Linked DNA regions of Xenopus tropicalis. The protein of the gene in region 1 interacts with the protein of each later gene in a pairwise test. Links are inferred from orthologs where the notes say so. Each region holds a gene or a part of one and is shown on either strand. Other genes may lie near its edges.

Region 1 (3,812 bases):
CTGGGGTCCAAGGCAGCCAGCATGGGACTCAAACACTTGCAAGGCCTACAACACAAACAAAAAAAAACCTTATTAGGCGAAACTTTTAGCCCAGATAAAATTGCTATACCATGTTTGTAGCACGTTTTTATAAATTGTTATTCATGCAGCTTTTAAATAGGTGTTGGAAACACTTTTTGTGCAATGAAATTAACCCATTAATAACAGTAAATATCATATCAGCAAGTATCTGAGTTTAGGGGGAATATATTAACCAAGGCAACATAGTTTTCAGTGTGCAGTATGCTAAGTGGGTTTACGCAACAACAATATGGCAGAAAAAGAGGGTATTAAGGGAAAAAGTGATGGGGTTCAATTGTTCCTGCAATAATAGTGGCTACAGCTGCGCATTACATTTGGCCCAAGTCATGTGATGACCAGGGAAAACCCTCATATATGCACACCAAGTACAGGTTATAACCTTTTATAAATTCATACATTTACCTCTAAAAACAAAATGACATTATCCAACAGTACATAAACTTTTTTAACATGTATATTTTATTTTAAAGTTGTTAAAAATCTAAAAGCAGTTTTTCACATTACCAGTTTACCATACCTGAGCACCCGCTGCTACCTGGCCCACCAAATATTCCACAATGACATCAGTGAGTTGCTTCAGAAGCTGGTGGCTAGCAGAGGGGTGTTGGTACAGCCAGCGCTTTGCTTTGGACATAGTGTTAGATCCTCCTCCCTCTATCATGTAGGTCATCAAAGTCCACTATAAGTAGAAAGCATGAGATATAAACTAATGACATGAACTTACATTTAAAAGCCATTCAGCCATTTAGAACTACAGCTCCGCGATGATTGTCCTTCCCACAAAAGTGCTCAGTTGTGGCAAGAACATAAGTTCTCAGGCTTAGCACTCTTATTTAGGGTTCTTTATAAGACCATGAATAGTGCCCACTCTGAGCCTGTGGCTGATTTATGAATATAGGCTGCCAATAGTACTGCACTTGTGCATATTTTATGTTGTGGTAGGGTCAGCGACACTCTCAACCTGCAAAATAAGCTGCAAACCAAGTCGCTATTACCAAGTCTAAAACAAAATTGCAAAAACTGCTCAGAGAACCACCACAGCTATATATTTTTTGGGGTTTAAATTCCCTTTATGAATTGTGTATTGTCTTGGCATTGCCCATGTTAGCAACACTTACTGGTGCACCAGTAAATCCAATCAGGGGCACCTTTCCTTCTATTTTATGCCGTGTAAGTGTGATGGCATGAAATACATATCCCAGCTCCTCTGATACATCCACTGAGCTTCTAAGCTTGTGCAGGTCCTGTGGGGTCTGTAAAGGTTCAGGGAATACAGGTCCCCTCCCAGGTTCCATCCGGATCTCCATTCCCAGAGCCTGTGATAAAAATGGATACATACAGGACTTGACAACAGATTCTATGAAATAGAGCAAACCCATTCACTACATATAAATAAAATAAGGAGCAAGTGTTTGTTTATTTACAATCCCTAGTTCCCTTTCATCTCCCGAAGCATGTTATGTGACAGTACCAATAAATAATGACTGCATATGGCAGAATCTACAGATTGCCAATCCAGGCCATCTTGGGAAACATGTTCAGTAGTTGCTGAAGCTTTTGCTGCTGCTGGAAAATGTATCAGTTCATATATCAAACTTTAACAGTTTAAAATAATTGAATTGTCCCCCAACTTATTTATGTATTCTCTTGGGATATAAATGGTCTCTGGAAATATGGAAGGCTCCTAAATTGGCAAGGGAAAACAATCAAGTGTCAAGGTGCTAATAGAACTACTCCCAAATCTCCTCCTCAAGTGGAACATCTATACTGTAGATCGAAACCCAGCTACTGTGATATCCCTATGCTGTCTGGCTCTCTGGAGTTCAAAAGTATTTTTTCCACTCCAGGGTTAGCACCAATGGCTATGTCCTGTTAATTGCAGAGTTTAACACATTTACTAAATGTACACTAAATATCAGCATCAGAATATTTAAATCTGTATCTGTGGTAGTTAAAGTGCATAAACTTTTAAGTATCTTAGGGCAAGAATATATCTCAATGTAATCCTAACCAATAGGATTACAGTGTTTTTATTCATGGGTTATTACATGCATAGTTTATAGACATAAACTGTTTACACATAAAGCTCTTTTCAAATAAATGTAAAACTGTTTGGTGGCTTCCTGCCTTCATTTTTACCTGTGGTATCACGAGGATGTCTGAGAAAATGATAGCAGCATCAAGAGGAAACCTCCGCAGCGGCTGCAAAAAAATACAAAAACTACATTAAACAAAAAACGGGAATTAATGTCTATGTAGGTAACCTCCTTTTCAGTCTTCCAGCCCATAAACATAGTTCCCAGTATGTATCAGAGGGTGTTTCTGTACTGCTTGCCTTGGCTGGGGCGTTCTGCAGATGTCAGCATAATAATAATAAGAGTTTCTAGGCAAATACATTTTTACATAAGGGAAGAAAAAATTAAACAGGAGGGTTTATTTTCTCTTTAAAGACACACCAGTGGTGGAAAATGGATTTATTTACATAGTGAAAACGTGCATGTAGTACAGGTACTGTTATGACTAAATCCTCCCTTTGATGAGCAGCAGTCCTGTCATGCTTGCTTATTAGCCATCTAATGACAGTGGCTCACACTGCGTACTGATCAACGCTTCTAGGGCCAGAGACCTAAACGTTGCTACCTGCCCCAGATCACTTCCTAATCAGTTAAACAGGAACTGATGTGAGTTACCTACTACTATTGCTCCAAGTGCATTTTCTCTGCTTTTCAGTTGCTAGGAGTGGAAAGCAACCCTAGGATATTGCAGCATTTTGATAACTGCCTTAAGCAAAAAACAAACTGCTGTGTGTGTGCCATGGTTCTAAGAGTTGCAAAAAAAAGAGCCATTCATCCATATATTTAAAGGGGTGGTATGTTATAGAATATTTTATTCCTAGCAACTTTGCAATTGGTCTTCAATATTTCTTTTGTAATAGTTTTTAAATTATTTGCCTTCCTCTTCTGACTTTCCAGCTTTCAAATGGGATCACTGACTCTGGCAGCCGAAAAACTATTGCTCTGAGAGGCTGCAATTTTATTATTATTGTTGTTTTTTACTACTTATTTTTCTATTCAGTCCCTCTCCTATATATATTGCAGTCTCTCATTCACACATCTACCTGGTTCATAAGGTAAACAAGACCCAAGCAACCAGATAGCTGCTGATATTTCAAACTTATAAGCATATAAAGATAAAACAAATTGTTTGAAATACTGCATCCCTTCAAATATCTGGAGCAGAAATAACTGAGATAAAGCTAACAATCAATAAACTCCTTGGTCCCCTACACTAAATTCTAAATCTTTTTTTACTCCACAGATAAGCATAAATAAATGTGTCCGGTTGTGGTTATGTTGCCCCGAAACGTTCCCAATTACTTCATATTTCTCTGCCTTCTCCATTACCTGCAGTGTGAGTTCACAGCAGATTTCAGGGCTCCGACATGACGCAAAGAAATCCTGTCCAGCGCGTGTCTCCCGAAACTCTGCAAAGAAGAGAGTTTAGTACGTATTTAATAGAGATACAGTTATCAACCTAAAGTGGGTTTCCTTTTTGTCCTCTTTAAAAATTATAATCCTGATAAAGACAGGCCAAAGTGACTAAGCCGTTATTAATACAGCCCTCTGAATAAGATATAATAGTTTTGGCCAATAGTTGTCACACCAGGACCTCTCCTGATGCTGAGAAATTTGAACATTCCTCAACAGCAAGAGATTTGGCATGCTTTAAAA
Region 2 (4,351 bases), on another chromosome or scaffold:
GTAGCTTTAAGGCTTGGGTGTTGCGCTAGGAGAGCTCAGGAAGGTGCCCTGTAGCTTTAAGGCTTGGGTGTAGCGCTGGGAGAGCTCAGGAGGGTGCCCTGTAGCTTTAAGGCTTGGGTGTAGCGCTGGGAGAGCTCAGGAGGGTGCCCTGTAGCTTTAAGGCTTGGGTGTTGCGCTAGGAGAGCTCAGGAGGGTGCCCTGTAGCTTTAAGGCTTGGGTGTTGCGCTAGGAGAGCTCAGGAGGGTGCCCTGTAGCTTTAAGGCTTGGGTGTTGCGCTAGGAGATCTCAGGAGGGTGCCCTGTAGCTTTAAGGCTTGGGTGTTGCGCTGGGAGAGCTCAGGAGGGTGCCCTGTAGCTTTAAGGCTTGGGTGTTGCGCTGGGAGAGCTCAGGAGGGTGCCCTGTAGCTTTAAGGCTTGGGTGTTGCGCTGGGAGAGCTCAGGAAGGTGCCCTGTAGCTTTAAGGCTTGGGTGTTGCGCTGGGAGAGCTCAGGAGGGTGCCCTGTAGCTTTAAGGCTTGGGTGTAGCGCTGGGAGAGCTCAGGAAGGTGCCCTGTAGCTTTAAGGCTTGGGTGTTGCGCTAGGAGAGCTCAGGAGGGTGCCCTGTAGCTTTAAGGCTTGGGTGTTGCGCTGGGAGAGCTCAGGAAGGTGCCCTGTAGCTTTAAGGCTGGGGTGTAGCGCTGGGAGAGCTCAGGAGGGTGCCCTGTAGCTTTAAGGCTTGGGTGTAGCGCTGGGAGAGCTCAGGAGGGTGCCCTGTAGCTTTAAGGCTTGGGTGTAGCGCTGGGAGAGCTCAGGAGGGTGCCCTGTAGCTTTAAGGCTTGGGTGTAGCGCTGGGAGAGCTCAGGAGGGTGCCCTGTAGCTTTAAGGCTTGGGTGTAGCGCTGGGAGAGCTCAGGAGGGTGCCCTGTAGCTTTAAGGCTTGGGTGTAGCGCTGGGAGAGCTCAGGAAGGTGCCCTGTAGCTTTAAGGCTTGGGTGTTGCGCTAGGAGAGCTCAGGAGGGTGCCCTGTAGCTTTAAGGCTTGGGTGTAGCGCTGGGAGAGCTCAGGAGGGTGCCCTGTAGTTTTAAGGCTTGGGTGTTGGGCTGGGAGAGCTCAGGAGGGTGCCCTGTAGCTTTAAGGCTTGGGTGTAGCGCTGGGAGAGCTCAGGAGGGTGCCCTGTAGCTTTAAGGCTTGGGTGTAGCGCTGGGAGAGCTCGGGAGGGTGCCCTGTAGCTTTAAGGCTTGGGTGTAGCGCTGGGAGAGCTCGGGAGGGTGCCCTGTAGCTTTAAGGCTTGGGTGCTGCGCTGGGAGAGCTCAGGAGGGTGCCCTGTAGCTTTAAGGCTTGGGTGTAGCGCTGGGAGAGCTCAGGTCTGAGTCAGGCAGGTGCACTGTAGCTTTAAATGGTGAGGGCTGGGTGGGTGCAGCGGCTCAGCTCTCGGTGCTACAGTCGCACACAGTCAGTGCAGCCGCTGAGCCGGTCGGATCAGTACAGACTCCGGCGCGCAGGGAGCCGCATGTGCCATGATCCCGCCCGGGGGCCCCCCTGTGCCCGGACACCGGCCCTCTGTTTAGTCCTGAGCCGGAGGGATCGCTGCCTGGCTGGGGCCGCCGCACGGTAAGTGGCAACTTCTCTCCGCTGGTACTGACCGCACCTGTCCGACCTTCCCTGCCCCATAGGGTGGGGTCTCACAGGCAACACCGACTGCAACAGGTGCGACTCTCTAGCGGGGGCTTGACTACAACTCCCACAATCCCCTGTTAGTAAGAGTTGACGCTACTCAAACACTTTCTGTTTCCCTTACAGATCAATGGGGAACCAGGTGGAGAAACTGACCCATCTCAGCTACAAAGAAGTCCCCACGGTGGATCCGACCGGTGTAGATCAGGACGAAGGTCCCAGAATCGGGGTCTCCTACATCTTCTCGGCGGACGACGATGAACTGGAGGAGCCCGGGCAGGAGCCGGGCAGGCAGAGCGCAGTAGTACGGGAGGAGCTGCCCTACGATCCCGGTAACGAGGTGGAGTGCTCGGTGTATTACCGGGACGAGTGTATCTACGAGAGGAGCCTGGGCGGAGCGGAGCGGGGCAGGACCTACTCCCCGGAGAAGCTGCTGGACAGGTGCAAGCCCGGGGACCTGCTGGAGTTTGTGGCCAGGAACCAGTACCCGCACTGGGCGCTCTATGTGGGGGACTTCCAGGTGGTGCATCTGTACCGGCTGCACATCGCTAACAGCTTCGTGACGGACGCCAGCCAGGGCCGGAGGGGCCGGATCGTCAACGATCGCTACCGATTCAAGGCGCTGAGCCCGGAGGTGGCGGTGCAGAACGCTATGGAACAGGTGGGCTCCAAGGAGCAGGAGCTAAACTGGCGCAACTCCGAGTGCTTCGCCGCCTGGTGCCGCTACGGCAAAAGGGAGTTTAAGATCGGCGGGGAGATCCGCATAGGCAAGCAGCCCTACCGGCTGCGGATTCGCCTCTCCGAGAAGAAGAGCCACACGCTGGAGTTCCAGAGCCTGGAGGACCTGATCATGGAGAGGAGAAGGAACGATCAGATAGGCAAAGCCGCCCTCCTGCAGGAACTCGCCAGCCACCTCCATGGTGAGGAGGAACCCAGGACAGAGCCCAATGGCAACAACTGAGGGGCAGCCACTTAACCCTTTCAGTTCCTTTCAAATCACATGTGAGGGGGGAGAGCTTATTCAGTTCTTATTACTTTGGGTTTAACCATTTCACTCCCCCCCCCCCCTCACGCTTGCGGAATTCCCACTGCCTATATCCCAATTTCTGGCGTTTCATTTCACTCCCAAAAGGAATATTTCCCTTTAAGGCAAATCCCAACTGGAACCAGTTCTGCCTGTGTTTAAAGGGAGGTGTGGCCCCTTGGATGTGTTGGCAGGATCCGGCTGCTTGTTTGCCCTACAGCGCTAGTAGTGCTGGGGGCCCAGGGCCCGACTCTTTATATCCTATGACCCTTCAGCTGTTGATGGAATACAATAAGGGCTGAGATACAACTCCCTGGTGGTGCTGGGAGTTGTACAACACCGGACTGGCAGGGGGAAACCCTGATCTAAAGTTTTACTGTCGCCATCTTGCTTTGTGGCTGCCATCTTGTTCTGCCTTCCCCTTCTGCTACTTGCCCTACCCACAGCTGAGATCTTGGGCTGGTTTCATTATATGGTGGTTCAGGCTGAAATATACTACAGTCTTGGTGTTTGTACCAAAGCAGGGCACCATTCCTCCCCCTTACCCCTGCATTGTGCCCAGAGGTCCAGCCAGCTGCCATTGTTTACACTGATTGGGGGTAATGTACTAAAAGGTGCAACGGTTTCCACTAGTCTAGTAACCCGTAACAACCAGGCGACTGCCTGTACTGGTCACCTGTTTGAAAACAAGCATCTGATTGGTTGCTGCGGGTTATTACACTTTGCCCCTTTTTATCACATTACTGTGATTATTTGCTGCATGTGTTAAGCAGAGCTTTTTGTATCTTGCTAAATGACAGAGCTGGGATATCAGTGCTGAACTTCAACTCCCATCAGCTGGATTTCATGTCATGGTGGAACCACGGCTGATATGCAATTAAGGCAGGGGAGATATGTGTTTTCACCTGTTATATGACAGGCTACTTAGTAGGTACAGGTATGGGATCTGTTATCCGGAAACCTGTTATCCAAAAAGTTTTCAAATTACGGGAAAGCCATCTCCCATTGACTCCATTATAATCAAGTAATTCAAATTTTTAAAAATTGTTTTTTTTTTTCTGTAATAATAAAACCGTACTTTGTTCTGGACCCCAACTAATCCTCATTGGAGGCAAAACAAGTCTGTTGGGTTTATTCAATATTTAAATGATCTTTAGCAGACTTAACTTTTGGAGATCCATTCTGGATAACCGGTCCCATAGATGTACTAAATGGCCACGTGGGTAGGAGGTGCCCTTTGTATGTATAGCAGGTAGTGTGCTCACAATGTGGGACAGTTCGTTACATTCTATGTATTGAGGGGGCTCATTAGGGCTGTGCTCCAACAGAGACAGTCAGTGTTTGAGTCTGTTACCTTGGTTACAGACACGCAGTCCGCACTTAGGCAACATGGGCTGCTATAGTCACTGCAGGAACAATGTTATGGGTTCATGACGCGCCCAGCCACATTTCAGGCTCATTTCTGCCCTTATCTCAAACTTTATATTGCCCCCTAACCCTATACCCGCAATAGAGCACCCCCTAGCCCCATGCCCACAATACAGCACCCCCTAGCCCTATGCCCACAATAGAGCACCCCCTAGCCCCATGCCCACAATACAACACCCCCTAGCCCCATGCCCACAATACAACACCCCCTAGCCCTATGCCCACAATAGAGCACCCCCTAGCCCCATGC

What was found.
Region 2: the proteins of urod (region 1) and lratd2 interact in binary tests that used the Homo sapiens proteins (3 or more experiments, as listed by UniProt). The two-hybrid records come from large-scale screens. The link is inferred for Xenopus tropicalis from reciprocal best matches to the Homo sapiens genes UROD and LRATD2.

What each region holds. Positions count from the first base shown.
Region 1 is NC_030680.2:90,479,553-90,483,364, reverse strand, and holds part of urod (uroporphyrinogen decarboxylase), read right to left. Parts: intron 3,566-3,812; coding exon 3,486-3,565; intron 2,284-3,485; coding exon 2,221-2,283; intron 1,398-2,220; coding exon 1,200-1,397; intron 761-1,199; coding exon 599-760; intron 46-598; coding exon 1-45. UniProt on the Homo sapiens protein: Catalyzes the sequential decarboxylation of the four acetate side chains of uroporphyrinogen to form coproporphyrinogen and participates in the fifth step in the heme biosynthetic pathway.
Region 2 is NC_030682.2:140,886,774-140,891,124, reverse strand, and holds lratd2 (protein LRATD2), read left to right. Parts: upstream 1-1,250; 5' UTR 1,251-1,371; coding exon 1,372-1,586; intron 1,587-1,775; coding exon 1,776-2,610; 3' UTR 2,611-3,677; downstream 3,678-4,351.